Arabidopsis thaliana: one gene and its partners. The protein of the gene in region 3 interacts with the protein of the main gene of each other region in a pairwise test. Each region holds a gene or a part of one and is shown on either strand. Other genes may lie near its edges. The genes, in order: PPD5, AT4G28440 and AT5G37670.

What was found.
Region 1: the proteins of AT5G37670 (region 3) and PPD5 interact in a two-hybrid assay, tested with the Arabidopsis thaliana proteins (one large-scale study listed by BioGRID).
Region 2: the proteins of AT5G37670 (region 3) and AT4G28440 interact in a two-hybrid assay, tested with the Arabidopsis thaliana proteins (one large-scale study listed by BioGRID).

The regions. Positions count from the first base shown.
Region 1 is NC_003076.8:3,651,219-3,658,406, reverse strand, and holds PPD5 (PsbP domain protein (Mog1/PsbP/DUF1795-like photosystem II reaction center PsbP family protein)), read right to left. Parts: upstream 4,016-7,188; 5' UTR 3,987-4,015; coding exon 3,883-3,986; intron 3,792-3,882; coding exon 3,616-3,791; intron 3,419-3,615; coding exon 3,289-3,418; intron 3,210-3,288; coding exon 3,160-3,209; intron 3,081-3,159; coding exon 3,013-3,080; intron 2,921-3,012; coding exon 2,825-2,920; intron 2,745-2,824; coding exon 2,685-2,744; intron 2,594-2,684; coding exon 2,534-2,593; intron 2,440-2,533; coding exon 2,385-2,439; intron 2,284-2,384; coding exon 2,234-2,283; intron 2,149-2,233; coding exon 2,050-2,148; 3' UTR 1,760-2,049; downstream 1-1,759. Other genes in the region: AT5G11460 (hypothetical protein (DUF581)), read left to right, coding at 19-893, 1,184-1,343; CID5 (CTC-interacting domain 5), read left to right, coding at 4,800-5,123, 5,204-5,347; AT5G11430 (SPOC domain / Transcription elongation factor S-II protein), read right to left, coding at 6,151-6,900, 7,009-7,068. UniProt on the Arabidopsis thaliana protein: Involved in strigolactone biosynthesis.
Region 2 is NC_003075.7:14,056,747-14,063,851, forward strand, and holds AT4G28440 (Nucleic acid-binding, OB-fold-like protein), read left to right. Parts: upstream 1-3,149; 5' UTR 3,150-3,307; coding exon 3,308-3,575; intron 3,576-4,030; coding exon 4,031-4,224; 3' UTR 4,225-4,640; downstream 4,641-7,105. Other genes in the region: AT4G28420 (Tyrosine transaminase family protein), read left to right, coding at 1-17, 113-328, 415-663; AT4G28430 (Reticulon family protein), read left to right, coding at 1,100-1,637, 1,718-1,871, 1,964-2,038, 2,122-2,263, 2,367-2,436, 2,548-2,613, 2,698-3,026; AT4G28450 (WD repeat and SOF domain-containing protein 1), read right to left, coding at 4,978-5,140, 5,247-5,335, 5,506-5,611, 5,726-5,851, 5,949-6,034, 6,138-6,191, 6,296-6,359, 6,461-6,556 and 4 more.
Region 3 is NC_003076.8:14,964,921-14,971,771, forward strand, and holds AT5G37670 (HSP20-like chaperones superfamily protein), read left to right. Parts: upstream 1-3,837; 5' UTR 3,838-4,114; coding exon 4,115-4,528; 3' UTR 4,529-4,671; downstream 4,672-6,851. Other genes in the region: ARLA1A (ADP-ribosylation factor-like A1A), read right to left, coding at 4,877-4,994, 5,068-5,229, 5,329-5,483, 5,584-5,665, 6,141-6,178. UniProt on the Arabidopsis thaliana protein: Possesses chaperone activity.

The DNA of each region.
Region 1 (7,188 bases), about 11 Mb from region 3:
GGGCACAGATCATCAATCATGTCTCAGCATTCCAACTATCAAATGACCACTGCTTCTGATTACTATTCGACAAAACCGGTCTTGTCAGCGATTAGAAGCCACAAACTCATCTCTAGTGTGTTTGAAGGAAAGTGTCCATCTGACTATGAATCAGCTTGGAGCCCAACTTCTCCTTTGGATTTCAGATTGTTCTCCACTTTAGGGAACCCTTTTGCTGCTTCTTCTTCGAGGTCAATCTGGAGAGGGAAACAAAGGAGCTGGGATTCTGGTAAAGTAGGCTTGAGCATTGTGCATTCTCTTGTTGATGATCATCACACTGATTCATCAGCAACGATTGTTTTACCATCACCGGATAGTAAAAACATAATCTTTGGATCTTTGATGAGAAGTGGCCAGAAACCTCATCTACTCTCTCAACCCTTTACCAAAGCTTTGATGCCCAAGGATGTTATACCAAATGCTGTTTTTGAGATTGGACATGATGTGATTGATGTGCTTGAGCTTCGAAAATCTGGCTCCGTCGATGCTGCTTACTGTTCCGGTGCTGAGAACTTCAGTGTGAACAACAATGCTTGTCAGGTGACCAAGCAAGACCCAGGATCACTTAATGGGGGTACTGAAAGTGACATGGAGATCTCAGAGGACTACACTTGTGTTATTTCACATGGTCCTAACCCCAAAACCACCCATTTTTACGGGGATCAGGTTATGGAGTCCGTAGAGCGCGAGGAGTTGAAGAACCGTTGTTGCAAGAACGAGAAAGAGAGCATTTTTGCTGTTGCTCCTCTCGACTTGACAACACCTGTTGATGTGTTACCTCCCAAAGACTTCTTGAGCTTCTGCTACGGCTGTAGCAAGAAGTTGGGTATGGGAGAAGATATATACATGTACAGGTACTCTCTTCTTCCCCTTCATTACTAGTGCACTTAGAATTGTTCCTCTATTCTCTTTGCATTTGTGTGTTTAAGATAAAGTCTCCAACTTTCGATAGTTTTGAGCCTACAATAGAAACTCCCTTACATGAATCTAATCTCCAAAACATAAAAGGCCTAATCATAGATATGGAAACTTAGGTTCTTTGCAGTACTTCGTTACTAAACTGCATAGCTTCGTTCCAAATGTAATGAGATCACACGCAAGTGAATATGTTGTGAAATATCAATGTCATGGTTTTGGTTTTCAGTGGATACAAAGCGTTCTGCAGTAGTGAGTGCCGTTCAAAGGAGATAGATCTGGATGAGGAAATGGAGGATGGAGATGAAGAAGAAGCAATCAAGTCTGTCTCGTCTTCAGACAAGGAGTCTAAGAAGAAGAGTAACGGTGTGTTCTTCACCGTGGGCTAATTCCAATACTCCCACCATTTCCATGATCGATTTGAGTCCATGAAAAGAGGAAAAGTAGAAGCTTGAGCTGATCATCTGTTCAAGAAAAAAGAGCTGTTGGTTTCTTTAAACTGAGGCGGCCATGGATGATCATTTTTGTATATTGCTTGTGCTTCTGCTTACCTAACAAAAAAAAAATACTTTTGGTCTCATCTCTCATGGTTTTGGTGGGTGATTGGTCCTATGGCTATTGTTATGGATATTTATAATTATGGTTCATCTATTCAGATATTATTATCTTAATTTATATAAGGGTAGAAGCCGGTTTATGTGGCTCCCCTCTGGCTACCTCTTTTTCATTTGTTAAATTTTTATGCTACCTTGAAAATCTTAAGGAGGCAGTGGTCAATGTATTATGATAGTAAAGGAGGTACTATGAAGAAGAAAGTTACTCCATCTTTTTTGTTCTTTCCCTGTGTATATCATATTCATATGATAGTAAATCTGATTCTGAGCCAAAAACTCTGTGGATACCAGTTGAGATGAGTTTAAAAGAAAATGCTAGTTATATCTCAATCTCAATACATCTGATAGTGAACAAGATATTCGGATTTGGAAAAATCACTTCGCTTGGCTCATTTCTCACACTACAACTTTCATAACCTCCTCTCCTATCAAAATTAACGACAATTTCGAAAAAAGAAATTTCATGAGGCAGATGGAAGCATCACCAAAACCTCCATGGATCCTTGTATGGAGGAACATAACTATCAGTAGGAGGAAGAAGCCTAAAGGATCCTACTGCTCTTTCTAACACCGGTCCCATCTGCATTTTATACAGACCCTCAAAATCAGACATCCTCACACTGATACAATAGATGTACAGAAAGTAGAGGTTACAGGTTTTGTACCTTGTCCCACTGCTTGCCAAGGGTTGAAGCATTTATGGTGTATAAGTATCCTGCAATGAGTGAGATTCAGGTAAATGTTGTTACTCTACATCAGGCTAAACAAACTCTAAACTTTGCATCTCAATCAATTCCCTTGTGAAAAGTTCTTTACCATCACGTTCAGCTGTTGAAGAAATATAGTGTCTGTAAAGCTTTGATGCTTCAGCCTGCCCACATATAGCAAAGCCAGTAAGTCCTATCAAAATCAATCTCCTTATGTCTTTAAACAAGAAGAATCTGCTCAGAGTTAGAGAGCATTACAATTTTGGTTGGTGATTTGCGGACAAGGTACTCGTAGTACCAGTAAGGCTCCCCATCAATCTACATATAGTAAGCATATGAGACTTGTGAGCTTTGTAGATTCAATTTTTTTTACGTTGTTATATGATTTGTTGTGGAAGATCATACTCACATCACTAGCATGAGCATCAAGAACCGAACTCTCTTCAAGACGCTGACTTGAGGTGACACGCTGCTCATTTAAACAATCTGTTTAATGTTTAAGAAAAGGAGAATTGGTAACTGTGATGTGTTTCATGTTAGAAGGGTTACCAATGCTGATTTATCAGACAAAACAGAATCAGCAACTTCTTTAGCGGACCATGTTTTCTTTTCTTTTGATGTTAATCTTGAGTTTGGGGGACCTATCTGAATCAAAAACCGTAAAAGACATATCACGAGAAAGATAGCAAAGAGAAGCAAAGCAGTCTTATGCTAAATGGGCAACACCAGAAACTTACCGAAATAGAAATGACGAGGTTGTCAGTTAGGTCAACTCGTTCAGAAACAATCCGTAAACGTGCATCAGCTGGACCAGTTGAAACAGATTCAGTAACAAGTTAATGCATCCAGAATTCATGAAAATCAAAAGGAAGCATAGAACTTACGAGAGAGTGGTGCAGCTGAAGAGTATCTTTCAGGCTTTCTTGATTCAACCCTGCATAACCAAAATGTAAAAGAGTGAGATACAGCTTGAACTAAAAGGAAGCATTACATCAAAAGGATTCAGTCAATACCATTTGAAGACAAGCTTCTCAGATGGATAATCCAATGGGTAAGCATAAGAATAAGCATTAATATCATCCACCATTGTACCCATTTTCAATTCTTCTCCACTCATTTTCACGTCTTCTTCTGCATGAGTGACTGCAATAACAAAACTGTAAACGTTACATAACCAAAAAAAGTAGATGATTATTAATGGACTAAACACTGTAAGAGATTCTCAATTTTCTTCCTTTCTCTCTACTAACCAATGAAAGGCAAGATTTTTAAGTAGAAGTGAAACTATCTAATTGAATCTACAAGATATTAAAAGACGAACAATAGAAGCAAAGCATTACCTGGAGAAGACAATGGCAAGAACATAGACAACGGAGAAGAGAGACCAATGAGCACTAAATCCCTACGAGAAAGCCCCTTTTCCGAAGAAATTGATCTCGTAGACACACCAGAACGAGCAATCATCAGCTCCTTTGAGGCTCCATGATACTTGCTCGAAATATTGCTGCTCCTGCACCTGAACACAATCTCATCCGAAATCACAAAAACATCTTACAGAAAAAGCCACTGGCTCGAGCACACAAGAAACATCACAAAAGATAATTAACCTGAAAAGACGAGAATTCGGAGAGGGAAGAGAAGGACAGAGAAGAGCCATAGCTATGGCGTGTTCTGGAGCTTCTTCACTTTGCTTCTTCCCTTTAGCTCTCATCCATTCACTCCTTCGTTTTGATACTTTTTAAACCGGTGGTTATCAATCGGTTTATTAAACCGAATTAATTTCAATCACGTATATTAGTATCCCGGTTAAAGATAAATATAACCGGGTATCCAAACGAACCCCATCGTGATGTTTGGTGTCCTTCATGTAAACGGACACTAACCTATACGATAATAATTCCATAAATACATGGGTTTGCCACATTAATCGCATCATTTAGGTCTCTGTCTCTACAATTTATTCGAGCGATCTTCAACGCTAGTTTTTGTTTGGTAAGCTCATTTTCTTCTCTCCTAATGTTTCGTTTCTTCTTCTCCTTTTACGTCGATCGTTGACAAGGTCAACAAACATTATTCCTTCTTTTCATTTTGTTTTGCATATAATCCACTCTTCTTCGCATCATTTCTTCTTTGTCAAGAATCTTTTACTTTTGCCCTGTTTTCTGTATTTTCCGACATCGATTTTTCCATGCAGTAACAACGCGAGCCAGATTCTAATGTAACCACATTTCTTTATTTTAATATCTTCAATTTATTTCCTTTAGATTCCTTATATACTCTGTGTTACGCCATCGAAACGTTGGCTTAGGAGTTAGGTCTCTTCATATCCTTTTTATTTTTTTTTGTTGAAATCATTAAAGGTTGTTTCATCATACCTCGTTAGACCAAATTTGAGATTGTTAGATTTTGCTGCATACGACATGTTTGGTTCTAATCAATATATCATTGTTTTGTATTTCTTTTCTGTCTCTGACTCTTAATTAACTTCTAAATTTAGCAGTAACTTTATCAGCAAGACAAAGCAATGAAGCCAGGAGCATTTGCATTGAATCCACATGCAGCATCGTATGTACCAATCTCCAAAAGAGTGGATTATGGTGGCGGTGATGATGGTTTGGTGTTTGCAGCAAAGTCCCCCACGGTTGAAGTGTCAATGCCGAAGAAATCCTCTGAAATGGCTTATAAGCAGATCAGGGATGATGATTTGGATTTGGAGATGGATATAGACATGGATATTGAATACCTTCTTGTCACTTTCTCTGGTCTCTCACAAGAGTCTATCACTGATGTTTACCTCGCTAATGGCGGTGATCTTGAAGCAACCATTGAGATGCTGAATCAGCTTGAGGTATATTCATTACTCACGTTTATTTTTTGTTTGATGTAATGATCTTAAGTGATGATTTTGATCACTCTTTTTCTATATAGATATACAGCACTGAATCTGAAGAAAACCTGCCAGAGACACTTGATATTGGGGATATCTCTGAGTCAGGGCCTTCAACATCAAAATCTACTGAAGTCGCTGCATCCACATCATCGGTTATCCCTAATGCACCTGTATCGGCCTGATCTCATGAATCCTTTAGTTGTGAAGTTTTGCTTCTTCTTCTTTTTCTTTTGTTTTGGTTTGCATACCCATAATAAGTACAGTAATGGGGGTATTGTATCAATGAAGTTGATGGTATCTAAGAGAAATGATGATATGTGAGTAGTTGGAAAATGTATAGTTTTGGAAGTTCAAATCTGAGTGGTGTGTTGTTTGGGCAGATTAGATTAGTCTGGTCTTTTTTGACCCCTTTTTTTATTTTGCAGCTCCATCTGTGGATTGGATTTTCCTATGAATAATATGATATTGATATGTTTATTATGGTGTATATGTAATCATCCTTTTAAAACTAGTACCAGTAACTTTGACAAAGGAGAATCTTTATAAGTTATAACCTTATTATTAACTTGTAAACCGAAATAAACTGAAATCTTCATCCGTTTAGAGCAAATTTTCCTGCAGGCTTGAACTCTGAGCCGAGCGGCCCATCAAAAAATCTTACTCTCGTTAGCCTCATTTTCAATAATCCTTTTAGATTCATGGTGAAACCTAGATAGAAGAAATTACTTGCTGATTTCCGGATTAAATTTGATGTTCAAACAAGATTTTGACATTTTAGCAAGATTCCACAATCAAACTTGTCTTTAAAAGCAGAGCAATACTGATTTTCGTTTTCTTGAGGAAACTCTGAAATGTTTTATTTGAAAAGTTGGGACTCTTCGAACATTTGCATTCTACGATGGCTACAAATTTTTTGAAAACGAAAAACTAAAGAGAGACTAGGAAACCAAAAAACTACAATTACAGAGAACACTCAACAGAGATATTAAAATCCTCTGTTTCTTGACTGGTTCCGCTCATAGTGTTGCCCTGATCCTCCGTTTTGATTATCATACCAACCATCTTGAGGCGGTCTAAATACCTCGGGTCTGAAGCCGAGAGGTGGAGGCGGCGGTGGTGGAAGCTGGTGGCTAGGGACGTGTGGCTGCCATTCAGGTATGTCGTCCTCATCGTCATCATCATCATAAGTGCTTGCAGATTTTCCATACTTGTGTATGAGCTTTCTTACTTGATCCAAAGACTTAGATTGAGCTGGTAATGGCTGAGGAGAAGAAACTGGCACAACCGAGGAATTAAAGTTAAATTCCGGTAAATCATCTTCGTCTCTTGAAGCCACAGGACCAAATCCAGGCGGCACATCATCATCAGCAGCAGTATCATGTTTCACATAACCATGATGGTGATTTCTCATTGATGCAACAACAAGAGGTTTCTCTGTAACATGCACTCTCTGCTTCTTGTTTACAGGCAAAACAGAGGTTTTAGAACCAATAGAAGAAGAAAAAGAATGCTGACGTTTTGAACCGGAACCGGGCTTGGGAACGACGGCTCGTCTCCACACAACAACTCCAACCAATCCAATATCCAAAGACTTGACCTCATCGAGCTGTTCTTGAGAGATGACTTTGTTTAGCAAATCTAGAGTCTCCCCACGTGTTGGGCAAAGGTAAAGCTCCACTCCTGAAGCTGGCTCTGCGTAGCCAACTCTCTGATCAGCAACGTAGGAATCAATAACCTTAACCAAAAGAAGAAGAAAAAAGATGAGCCTTCACGGTTCTGTTCTCAAATGTGTTGTACAAGAGAACAAGTAATAGATCATTAAAAATTGAATTGATTTCTTTACCTCAATAAGGCTTCCACGCTGGCTCTCAGAAATGCCGTCTTTATAAGCCAAGTACATTACCTGCAATGCGAAAGAAAAAGATAAGTAAACCAAATTTGAAAACAAATACTTTACAATAATAATAATTTACACAAAAAAAAAAATATAACTATAGGTTTCTTTCTTGTTCCATGTATGTGT
Region 2 (7,105 bases), on a different chromosome or scaffold from region 3:
TTCTCAAGTCCACAGGGGTCTGTCTTCCTTTTTACTGATCATCATACTAACTTGTGTTTTTGTCGCTTGTGTTACAAGTAATCACTCTGTTTTTTCCTTTTTCTTGTAACAGATGGTACAGTCCATTCAACAGAACCTTGACATAACTCCAGATGCTACAACTATTGTTCAAGCTGCACTTCCTGAGATTTTAGGGAAAGCGAATAAAGAGTTGTTTGCCAAGAAGAATTCGATGCTGAAACAAAACGTGGAATTGGTCTGTGATAGGCTCAAGGAGATTCCTTGCTTGGTCTGCAACAAGAAACCTGAGTCATGCACTTACTTATTGGTACCACCACCAACGTCTCTTATACTCTTTCATGATTCTAGATCAATTTGGATGATTCTTATTTCTTAACAACAATTAAACTGCAGACGAAGCTGAAGCTTCCATTGTTGGAGGACATAGAAGACGACATGGATTTCTGTATGAAGCTAGCCAAAGAAGAAAACCTCGTCTTACTACCAGGAGTGGCTTTGGGATTGAAGAACTGGATAAGGATAACAATTGGAGTAGAAGCTCAGATGCTGGAAGATGCACTTGAGAGGCTCAATGGCTTCTGCAAACGCCATCTCAAGAAAACAGAATCTTCTTTTCAAGCTCTGAGCAATGGCAAAATCTAAACCACTCATCTATAGAGAGACTATACACAACCAAATAAAAAATCTGCAATTTTTGTGGTGTAAAAAACAATAATCATGTCATTTTCATATAAGAAACTCTATGTTTCTTAATCTTATTTCTTTGTTTGAGTCAAGTAGAAAAAGACATGAATAATGTTGAATCAAGACTTTATCTTTACCGTTAAAAGAGACGGACCCACTTTGCCGCCGTCAAATTTAAAAAATGCAAAAGATTTGTCTTTTACTTTCTTTCTTCATCAACGGCTCTCTGATCCACAGTAGCCGGAGAAAAAGCAGAGAGCTCAAATTGTCGGAATTAAGAATCCCCAAATCACATCTTCAAGAACCCTAATAAATTCCCAGAGATTCCTCTCATTTAATCACTTCAGATTCGAAAAAAGTTCTCTCTTTTTCCCAAAAAAAACTTTCTCATACAATGGACTCTACTACCACACCTCCTTCTCTCCGTTCGAATACTAGATCCGCTTTGCGTCTAGCTCGAAACAACAAAACTCTCGTAAAATCTCACATTCCATCTCTCGATTTGGTTTTATTGTCTCCGAAGAACAACAACGGTACTCCTTACCCATCACCTGTTTCTCTCAGTTCACCATCTTCTCCTGTTACTCTTCGTGAGATTCTCCTTTTATCTCCTTCCCCTCTTCGTAAATCGAGAACCCGTTTAAGCAATCGGTTCGATATGGAAGCTGCGGAGGCTGCTGTGACGGCACGACGGAGTAAGACGAAGGGAGGGCAAAATGGTCTTTTGGCCTCGCCGTCGCCGAGGAATTTCCGGAGGTCGAGACTAAGGTCGGAGGCGATGGTAGATACAAAGGAAAATACGGAGCCAATTGTTGTCGTGACCGATGAAAAGAAACAAAACCAGAGGAAACAGAAGAAGTTGGGTCGATCTAAGAAGGAGAAGCACAGTTCTGTTCCTCTGTTAGCTTCTCCTAGTCCATCTTCAGATCAACGTATGTCCTTCCTCTGTCTATTAGCTCATTCGATTTCACTTTCGTGCTCTAATAATTGCTCAATGATTTGTGTAATTCAGCTCAAGATGTTTGTCAAGGTGATTTAGAGCGGATTAGAGAGAATATAAGCGATTTGATTATGTGGAGAGATGTTGCGAAATCAACACTTTGGTTTGGTTTTGGCTGTATATGTTTCCTATCTACTTGCTTTGCTGCTAAAGGATTTAACTTTAGGTAACATTGATTTCTCTGTCAAGGTTTATCTTTCTAGCTTTAATCATTTTTCACATTCATGAGTTGATAATGAAACTTTGTGTGGTTTGAAGTGTTTTCTCAGCGATCTCCTATCTTGGACTTTTGTTTCTTGGGGTATCGTTCTTGTCAAATACTCTTCGCCAAAGGTACAAACTTTTAAGGTCCCAGTACATAAATATCAGCTTGAACTGCAGTTGACTGAAGTTTTGATCCATTTGTTACCATAAAGGGTTACTGAAGAAGCGCGGAGAGAGCTTAAATTGAGTGAAGATGATGTATTACGAATAGCTAGACGAATGCTTCCCATCACCAATTTAGCAATTTCAAAGACGAGTGAGCTTTTCTCTGGTGAACCAGCAATGACACTCAAAGTAGAATTTACAAAACTTTGCCATTCTCATAAAACTTCTCTCCAATGAATGTGACTCTCACGTTGATTTTGTCCTTCTTACACTGTTTTTACTTTGATTTCAGGTGGCACCTTTTGTTCTAATGGGAGCTGAGTATGGTTACCTCATAACATTGTGGAGATTATGTGCTTTTGGTATGATTGTTGAAACACTATATGTCAACATTACTCCAAAGAAAGCTAAACTGTTTTCTTTAGTTGTATCTAGTAGAATTGACACAGAGTATGCATTGTTTCTTTAAACAGGTTTCTTCCTTAGCTTCACTATTCCAAAGCTATATTCATGTTACGCAAGTCAGCTTAACCAAAAAGGTAAACTCTATTAACAGACTGCGTAGCTCTTTGATGGTTCCAATGATTGACACTAAGGATTCTTTGATCTTTGCTTATGTGTAGTTGAGTGTGCACAAAGGAGATTTGTTGAAGCTTGGGGAGTTTGCACACACAAGAAATTCGTAGCAGGCTCTGCAGTTACTGCATTCTGGAATCTAACTTCTCTCAAGACCCGTTTTATTGCAGTGTTTATCATAGTAGTAGTAATCAGATACAGACGACAGAATCTACAGTTAGATTCCGAGGATGAGGAGGAGAAGAAGCAACAAGAAAAAACTCACCCGGAGCAACAAAAATCGCCGGAGGATAAGTCAACTTCACCGCGGTCAGCAGAAGAAGAGCAAGCGTTGGTGCTAGTTGCAGAAACCAAAGCACCAAAGAAGCTTTATTAGTCTAGTCACTAGTGTCTTTTCAGTATCCACCTGTGTAATAATATTTCACATTTACGTAATAATAAATAAAGAGCAGTCATTAATATCAAATAATAAATTGACACGTGACAAGCTCATGAAACTGTGAGAAGCAGGTGATAAAAACTCTCGTCCGTCTTGGGAGAGAGCACATCGTCGTCTTTTCTTTATAAACCCTAAATTCCCATTTCTCTTCTCCAAAAGTTTTATCGATTCCACCAAATTAGGGCGAACGCGAAATCTGGGTATTGTAATTTGAAGCGATGGCGACGACTGGAACTGCTGCGGTTGCGACGGGAACTTCGACGGTGAAGAGAAAACCGGTGTTTGTGAAGGTGGAACAGCTAAAGCCTGGAACGACTGGTCACACGTTGACTGTTAAAGTCATTGAGGCTAATATCGTGGTTCCTGTTACCCGGAAGACTCGTCCAGCGAGTTCTCTGAGTCGTCCTTCTCAGCCTAGTCGAATCGTTGAGTGTCTCATCGGTGACGAAACTGGGTGTATCCTCTTCACTGCTCGTAACGATCAAGGTTATTGTTTCTCCACTTTTCTCTTGCTTTATGGATATAGAAATGGTGTCTTCGTAGTTTATTAGAGTGATAAGTCTTATCCTTTGTTGTTCTCTCGTTTGTCTTAATCAATTTCTATTTTGAGCAAATGGTAAATGTGTTTCTATTAGTACTATTTGGTAAATGATGTATCAGTTATTGTATGTGTATTTAGTGATGTCTTTGTGAAATTGAAGCTTGAAAGAATCTTGGCCTTGAGGGTCTGTAACTCTGTATAGTCTTACCTATAGTGATGATGAAACTTGCTTGGTTAGATGTTGAGTTATGTTCAATTGAATGGTCTACATTATCCCAAAACTTTCATAGCTTTTCATAATGTGAAGTTTTGTTATACCAGTTTTCGTGCAATTGATGTGGCTACTGATTAGCTCTAATGATGTTATTGGTTTTTTTTGTGTGTGTGTGTGTGTGTATAGTTGATCTTATGAAGCCGGGTGCTACGGTGATACTGCGCAATTCAAGGATAGACATGTTCAAGGGTACAATGAGGCTAGGAGTTGATAAATGGGGACGCATCGAAGCCACTGGAGCCGCGTCTTTCACTGTCAAGGAGGATAACAATCTGTCTCTCGTTGAGTATGAACTGATCAATGTTGGTGGTGATCAGTGATCTTTTAGTATGTTTATGGAGGTTAACCCCTGAGAGTGTTGGGTTCTGATTTTTCTACCGTGAAGGTCTTTGATTTAGATGATGAAGATTGTATGACTGGTCCAGAGTTGCTTGTAGGAATATGCTTCTTCTTTTTTACCCTAAAATATGCGGTCATGATCTTGCTCTGGAGAACTATTGAGCCTGCGGTAATGGCGTAATGCAATTGTTCCTTTTAATTTGTGTTGATGTAAGTTAAAGACCATTGAGAGCTTGCTTGTGCACTATCTAATACAGTAAAAATAAGTTTTTCTTTCTTAAACTTTACTAATGTCTTTGTTTTTTCATTAATTACTATTTGATGTACACTATTGTACCCTCTCGGTTACAGAGAGTTTTGCCCAACTTTTTACATCGAAAGCATCTCATCCTTGATTAATGTCATTGTTAAGACAAATTGTAAGTGCATAAAATTCATCGACGGATCATAGAACCATTGTCTAGTTAAGTCGGTCTAATTCCAAACTTTATAAATCTTTGAAATCAGAATGTTACTTTGAAGATCAGCTTTGTAACACCAAAAACGAATAGTTAATGAACACAATACGTAGTGAAGAGAAAAAAGAAAACGAAATGGGTAATAACTTAATGGCATAAAGAAAGGCTTACAACACAGCAAAAATGTTCATGTTCCTAATCTTACCCTCACTATACCAATACAATCCTCTCCACGTATCATCATCCTTGAAAGGAACAAACGGAGAAAGAGTAGAGTCACTCCACTTCTTTGATGATCTTTCTTTTGCGCAGAGGTGCTGTGACCACTGTTCCTGGAGCACTGTGAGCTTTCCTTCGTGCTTCTTTTCTTCTCTTCGAATCGTTCACAGTTCGAATGATACCCATCGCTTTGTATATTGGTTTTGGCAAGTGCCTGTGTCTGTAATTCACAATAACCAAAACGTTACCATGTTACTATAGTTATCTTTTGACAATCTCCAGAGTTAAAGCATGGGATAAAACCACAGTTTTCATTGGTCATTTACCTCACAATGCGCTTAACCTCAGAAAGATGCTTGTACCGGTTCTTCACAGCCTCGTTGTACTCATGCTTCTTTTGTTCCCTTGGAAGAATCTGCAGCACAACACACCAATTAACATTGACAATTCACCGTTCCAAGTTAAAACTTCTTAAGAAAGCATGTACGAGTAATATCTCATAATCATATGCACTATTGGATCAACTGCTAAGCCTGTGGTAACTCTTTTTTGGTCTTTATTTTGTATAAATTCACAGAATCTTACAACTCCCAATTGCTCTGATGCCTTTGCCTTCCATAGCCTGAGATTGGTGTCATCACTGCCCGATATTACATATGTAGCATCACAGCTATATTTGACACAGAATACTCTACAAGAAAAAAGAAATGAAATTTAGAAATTGCTTAGACTAAATCAAATTACCAAGGTGGTACACTAGAACATCTGAACTTGAAGTATATATAGACTGTTCAGTAGATTGTACCTCTGCATCCTCTTTGTATGGTAGATTTCCCTGCTGTGTCCTCCATTGTATGGGAAGATTCTCACAGATCGATCATAAGAACCCGTAACAAACTCACGACCAGTCGGTGAAAAGTCAATATCCATCCTGAAAAATGATGAAATTAGATAATCATAATGCATTTGGATGATATCTTGTTAAATATTATAGCTGATACTTGAGATAAATCATTCTTCATTCTTACACTGCAGAAACATGATCTTTATGCACGCACTTGGCTTCGTCCAACTTTCTACCATCAAAGCTATAGCAACTTCCATCTTCATTAGCCTATTCAGTTTCCCCATGGGATAAAATTAGCACATAAGCAAAAGACAAACGCTGATTTAGCATAGCCCATCACAGAAAAATTCACTTTATGATTATCACTTACAGCTGTCAGGTTCATAGGCTCCATGGGGTTCCATGCAATTGAATTTGTTTTTGTCTGCCAAAAGAAAAGCAATTAGCAGACCACGGTTGCAATTGTTTAGTTTGAAGGGTATTAATGATTAAATATGACGAGAATATGTAAAAAAGTTTCAACTATACCATCATGATAATTTTCCTTGCCGCAGAAGACAAGCGGAGATCATATATGGTTATGCTCCGGTCACTGGAAGAAGAGATATCCCCTTACAGTGTTAGAGAAAGCTCTGGAAGGTGTAGCACAGACAATTACATGACATATACAAGTATAAAGTAGAAAGAATATACCTAGCTGATGTAGCCAATAAATTAGGCTCTCCAGGATTAAACCGAACAGATATTACAGAGTCAGTTCCCCACTGGAAACTCTGAACTGGCTGAGACCTAATTACAAAAAGTAAAACCATAAGCCCTGCTTACGTAAAATTAAAACAAACACCAAAGATTTCTTTTAGCAGGAGCCTGAGTACCTATTATGATTCCATATATCAAGTTGAGCTCCGGCCGTAGCAAAAAGGTCACCTTCAAACTGATGATCAACAGCCCTAGAAATGACAAAAAGCTTAGTAACTCAAGTTTTTTGTACCAACAGAATCATGAGAAATCGCATAAAGAGTGTGTACGAAGTCTACCAGAAAGCATTCTTCCAGACATAGGTTGCAGATGGCTGAAAAAATAGTTTGTTAAAAGCTTGTAGTTATATACCAGCAAGAGAAAGCTCCAGATAATACAATATTGAAAGAACTACCTCAATGAAATTCTCAGATGAAATGCTAGAATCTTCAAGTGAAGGACGAGGAACATTCCACAAACGAACACTGCACAAATCCATTAACCTTAGTTTAACAGCCAAAAATCTGATCACCGACTGGAACAATAAATTGTTATTATATCTTACGTGCAATCAGTTCCGCATGAAACCAATACATTTCC
Region 3 (6,851 bases):
TTTGTAAGATCTAAATTGACTGTATTAGTGACTGTGGATTTGAAGTCCGCAAAGTCTATTGGTGATACCTTTATACCATTGGTGCTAAAGATATTTGTAAAAAAGTCCTGAGCGTGGTTTCCAATTTCTTTATCTCCTGTGAACATCCTTCCTTGATCGTCCATGATTGTGTTCACTCGATTTTGAGAATATCTTGTTTTTGTACATGCATGAAAATAGCCGGTGTTTTGATCGCCTTCCTTCATCCATTGATTACAACTCTTCTGCTTCCAATAAATCTCTTCGTCACTAAAGGCCTTCGCTAGTGACTCTTGAAGTTGTGGAATTAGTTGTCTTTCAACCCTCCTTGTACTCTCCATTGCTCTGTTTAGGCTGCTTTGAAGTTTTTTGATTCGTTGTTCTGAGTTTAAATTAGAAACGTGTTTCAGTCTTGCCATGGCTTGTCGACAACTACTGATCCGTTCCGTGATAGGTGTAGAACGTGAATTCCAGTTTGTCCTCCAGCTTGTTTGAACAATACGTTTGAATGTCGGTATGTCAATTAAGCGGTTATCAAAACGGAAAAGCTTTGATCGACGGGGAAATGACTCGTTGAAGTGAACTAGGACCGGTTTGTGGTCAGAGCCCGTGAAGTCCAGGAATTCTGTTTCAGCATATGGAAATGTTGCAGTCCAGGCTGAATTAATAAAAACTCTGTCAAGACAACATTTGACTGTGTGTGTATGTCTTTCCCCTACCCAACTGAATCTATCTCCTTTTGATCTCATATCTTCAATGTCACAATGAGAAACCATGTTTCTGAAATTTCTAAAAGTCCATTCCTCTCTCATGGGACCACCAATTTTTTCAGCGTTCGAAAGTATCTCATTGAAGTCACCCACTAGCAACCATTCAGCATTTCGATTATCTGAGATATTTTCAAGAGTTTGCCATAGTTGATGACGTTCAGATTGAGTAGGGTGACCATACACACAAGACAAGTAGAAGCTCTTGTTATTAAATGTTACATGAGAATCAATGAGTCTTTCATCCTGAGAAATCAAGGATAAAGAGACATTGTTTTTCCACATAAGAGCTAAGCCACCACTCCTTCCATTAGGGGGCTGAGTTATTACATTAGGGAAGCCTAAATCATATGCTAGTTTACATACTTTATCACACTGGTTTAAGGTTTCAACTAAAAATAAAATATCATAGTTATACATACGGAATAAGCGAAACAACCGTGATTGAGTCAGCGGCATACCGATGCCCTGACAGTTCCATGAGATGATCCTCATATTGGATCCCTTAGGGGTACCGGGCCCCCCGCGCCTCCGTCACGTCCATCATGTATCGAACACGATCCTGCAGATTCAGTCTTTCTTCCTTTCTTGCAAAGTTGACTCAGAACGCCCATTTCGTCTGCAGCTTCCACCTGTTGGTACATTTCTTCAAATCGAACCCTCTTTCTCTTCATGAAGACAAACTCATTTTGTGCATTGTCAGAGGACTCAAGGAGCAGATCTTTCTCAACCGGTGCGTCAGTTTTAACTCCTGCAAGTTTGGCGTGAAGGTAGCGGAGTCTTTCAACTGTGAGGTCTGTGTCCTCAATGACGCATGGAACCGAATAACCATCTGAAAGTTTTTGTACCTGGCGTTGATTCCCCTTTGAAAGCGAAGATTGAAGGCCGGGAATAAGAGTCGCTGGATCCACTGTCTGAAGAGTATCAGTGTCGCTTATGTCATGTTCTTTGTTGTCGTCGTGATGATCGTCATCATCATCAGCATCATCATCATCACTTGTCTCCACCGGATCTTCATTATCAAAGGAAAGGGTGCATGCCTTGATGTCATGCTTAAGGGAGCCACATTTGGTACAGAAATTCCTTAAACGCTCAAAACGAAACTTTATCACAGTGTTTTCACCATCAGCAAATTGGAAATTTCTTTGGAAGCGTAAAGGATCATCCAAATTCCAATTGATTCGAACTCGCACAAAACCCGTATGGTTTGAGTTCTCATCAAAGTCAACATCAGCAACATGTCCTAATCTATTTCCAACACATCTAGCCATTGCATTGGTAAGGAAAAGGAGAGGAATACCGGTGATTTGTACCCAAAAAGGAATGATCTTCATTTCAGCCTCGCTAAGGTTTGGATACCACCGATGAATCGAAAGCATCCAATCGTTGAATGACCACGGTCCACGACGGAGCACGAGATTCATCGCTTCCTCAGACTGGAACTTGAATTGAACTCTGCCTTTGTCAATAATCCGCCCGACGCACGAATCAGGAAAGCCCCAAACTCGTGGCATTTGTCCTATCAAGGCACGGAGGTTCTGTTTGCGTGGATTCACAGTTGTTACCACCAAGGAGAAACGGTTCACATATGCAGCCTGTGAACAAAATTCTGAAGTTAGAGCCACCGGTTCATCATCAATACCCAAGTTCAAATCCTGAACCGATTTACGAAGTCTGTCACTCATGATTGTGGATGACAGTGTTTGAGAAATGGTGAATTGCAGAAAAGGGAGAAGAAGGAGCGAATTGAAGTATATATAAGTTTGTATCCATGGCGGTTTGTGTGGGTAGTTACCCTCCGAAAGTGAAGGGCAATGATAACTGCCATGGAAACTGATTGGCAGAAAGTAACCGCCGTCATAAAACCGTGAAAAGAGACAGATTATGATGGTCGGAGAACTGCTCCGGCGAGGAGAATTGAAACGGTGTGAGTTAGGCAAAAAATCGCCCTCAGAGAGAGAGAGAGCCATCGTTTTAGCATAATTAGTAGTAGTACTTGATTTTACAAGAATTTCTTTTTTAAAAAAAATAAAAAATATTAATAAAATTAGATTTAACACGTCTATATACAAGAATTTCTTTTTTAAAAAAAATAAAAAATATTAATAAAATTAGATTTAACACGTCGATTATCTCTTTCACTCAAAGTATTTGATACATGTGTTAGCAAATTTGAAAATCATACTTTATATTATAAAATTTTTAAAAATCATTAACTATTCATCACCAATCTCTTCACTTCAAGTCTTCAACTCCCAAATTAGGGTTTAACCTTTTGTTTGAATTCTTATTCTGCCCAATGGAAAATGAAAATATTCGAATCAAAGTTGTTCCGTGGGTTTCGTATCTATCAAAAAATATAGAGTCTAAGACAGTCAAAATCTACCTAGATCCAAAAGTGATCTAACTATAAATAAGTCTAAGCCATAACTCATCTATTATACTATACTAGTGAATACAACTATTAAAATTCTTATATATAACTTGGAAGGTCCAAAGATTTTGGATCCATCAACAGAACAATTGGTTCAAATGTAAAAGTTATGAATGAAGCACAAAGTTCCTAACATGAATCGCACATAGCTCCAAACACGTATCGCACCGGTTTAAGAGACTACTAGCCACAAGGTAGGCAATGAGAGTCATTTCACTTTATTTGGTCTAAGTCTTGCGAATTCTCCATTTTCACGACTGATATGACTCGTTTTATATCTAGTCGTCAACTGTACTTAGTTTTGTTCGGGTTGTGAAATTTTCGTGATTGCATAGAATGTTACTCTTAACTTGATGTTAACCGGTTTCTCCATCATCGTGCAAAGCTGGAAACAAATTACAACAAAAAATCATGTTATAGAGCTAAAGAAAGAAAGGATTGAAATCAATATATGTTGCTATTCATGAAATCTTGAGTATATGAATTATTTTTGAAATTTATATTAATTTTTCTATACTTGAGAACATCTAAATATAATATATTTTTTATATTATACATATAATACTTTTCAAGATTTAAAATTGAAGAGTATATATATATATACCAAAAAAAAGGGACAACAGATAAAGATAAAAGGCCCAAATAATCACAAAAATCCTAGAATCGCATCGAACGGTTAGAATCAATCGATATCCATCATATCAATATACACTGCACCGTAGCATATAACAACCCCCTGGGCTTCTCCAAAGTTCTGGAGTCAGAGAAAATGAAGAAGAAACAAGATAACGAAGAACTGTCTCGACTTCTGTAATCTGTATAAAATACTTTCCACTCAAACATATATACACATCTCTAGAAAACAAGCTTAGCTAAAGAAGAAAGATAGAAGAATATGGCAGACAGAGGAATATTCTTGTATCCATTTAGAAGATTCCAAGAATGGTCAAGATCAACGGCTCTGATTGATTGGATGGAATCAAACAACTCTCATATCTTCAAGATCAACGTTCCTGGTTACAACAAAGAAGACATCAAAGTACAGATTGAAGAAGGGAATGTTTTGAGTATAAGAGGAGAAGGAATAAAGGAAGAGAAGAAGGAGAATTTGGTGTGGCACGTGGCGGAGAGAGAAGCTTTTTCCGGTGGTGGAAGTGAGTTTTTGCGGCGGATTGAGTTGCCGGAGAATGTGAAAGTTGATCAAGTTAAAGCTTACGTGGAGAATGGTGTTCTTACAGTTGTTGTTCCTAAGGACACTTCATCGAAATCGTCTAAAGTTAGGAATGTTAATATTACTAGCAAGCTTTGATGTCTAAACCGGGTTAAACCGGTTTTTGGTTTTCTTAAGATGAATAAAATTGGACTTTGTTATTTCATAAATCTAATGAATTGCAGTATGCCAGTATGTAATATTTAGGAATCCAATAAGATGTTAATATTACTAGCAAGCTTTGAAGTTTTAACCGGATTAAACCGGGTTTTGATTTTCATGAACCGAAAGTATTTGAACATTGAAGAATTGTAAAACAAGATTTAAACCAAGAAGAAACCAAAAGCTGATGATTTACATCTGATTGATTCTCAACAAATAAAACAACATCAAGAAACCAAAAACAAGCTTTGTTTTCCTCTAGACCAATGAGCTTGTTGTGTCTGTTTATGTGGCAGTTCTCGAGTGCTTAATGAGCCAATCGATGACCGCATCAATGTTTATCGAGTCCTTACACGAGATCATGTAACAGCAAACCTCTCTGTCTGTTACAGATTCAAGCCCTCTGCATCAAAACAATCCAAAGTCATATACTCGAATCCAGATTGTTTTGTATGGACTTTGAATAAGAAACTTACAGTTGATCAACCAAAGCTTGCTTAGAGAGAGCTTCAGACTTATCGATTTTGTTGCCAAGAATCAGAAGAGGAATGCCATTTAAAGACGGTTTCGTTAGCAGATCATTCAATTCGCTTCTTGATATCGGTACACTATCTCGATCTGCAGCATCAATCACATATCTGCAATATTACCACAGCAACATATACCATCAAAGATTATTAACCAAATAGTAACATGGGATGTTCAAAACATATCGAAGAAGTTTTAAGAGGATGTACACAATGGCGGAAACACCGCGACAGTAACGTTCCCACATGGTACGAAACCTTCGTTGCCCTCCAAGATCCCAAATCTTTATTGTAACATTTCCTTTTGTAACTTTCCTCATGTTAAATCCTACAGTTGGTATCATATCTTCACTGTAACCTCCAGTCTTGACAAATCCAAAGAAAACAAGAAGTGAAACGCGTAAGATTAGATTTGTTCGAGAATACTATTTATCGACTAAAACCTCTGATGAAATTTCTACTCACAGCAATGGCATTGACAAGAGAAGTCTTCCCAGCATTTTGAAGTCCAACGAGTGACAGCTCCATCTCTTGTTTGAAAAACAAGCTGACACAACAAATATAAGCAAACACAGAATCAAAATCTAAGTGTTACCAAAACGTGATTCTGCTATACACTAAAAACATAAGTATAACCAAAAACAACAATACATTACTAACCAACTATAACCTACTCTTTTAACCATTCTATAACATCACATAAAGCATCACTACTATAAATGGATTAAAATGACAATCAAGTCAAGAGAATTAATACACAAGAACATAGAAATAACGGTAGATTTCTCAGCGAACCAATTCATATAATGTAACAATAAAAGATACAGCCCAAGAAACTCAAGAGAAGTTTGAGATTTTGAAACAATAATTGTTGACTCTTTGTGAGAAAAATTGGTTTTTGGCAACGTTTTTACTAAACCCAGAACTATAACTCTAAACTACTTCAATGGAAGAACAAAAGGACTACAACTAATAAACCAACTTAATCAGCAAAACAAAATGAAAGTTAGAAATTTGTTTACCTCCGGAGCCAATTAAGAAGTGAATCCCAAAGACCCATCTCCAAAGATTTGATCTTTTCGAAGATTTAACACTCGAGTTCTGGATTTGGAGATTCAAAATCGAAATATTTCGTAGCCCTAGTTCGATTCTTGAATTTTGCTAGATGGGTAATGAGAGAAACAGAGAGGAAGAGGAACAGGGAAGAATCTGGACCTTACTTAAGGTAATAGAATTTGTCAGTTTGTGAAAACGGTGTCTCTTCCTTCACTCTTGGTGTCACGCTATTGTTGCTTTTAGAATTTTAGATGTCACCATTCTTTTTTTTTTTGTGTGTTCCTTTTATTTCTTTTATGGGAAATTTGCAAAGAATAACTAACAAAAATTTATAAATTAAAAAAGTAATACAAGAAAAAAAAAACAGCTATATTCTCTATATTATATATAATAATGGCATATTTACCTCTTTCTCTCTACCTTATTCTAAGTTCCTCCTTCTCTCCTCTCTTTTTCATCTTTTTTTTTTTTTTTCTCTCAATCTCTTCTCTTTTTTTTTTCTGTATAACACAACAAACAAACGAAAAGAACAAACTAGATTTTTCAGATACCACTTATGTTATCTGATTGCTTGGGTTGCCAAAGTTGTATCTTAGGGTATAGTTTTCTATACATCCAAAATAGTATAATACAACATTTTATTTCTATCCAAAATAGTACAAGTCTTTACTTACAAA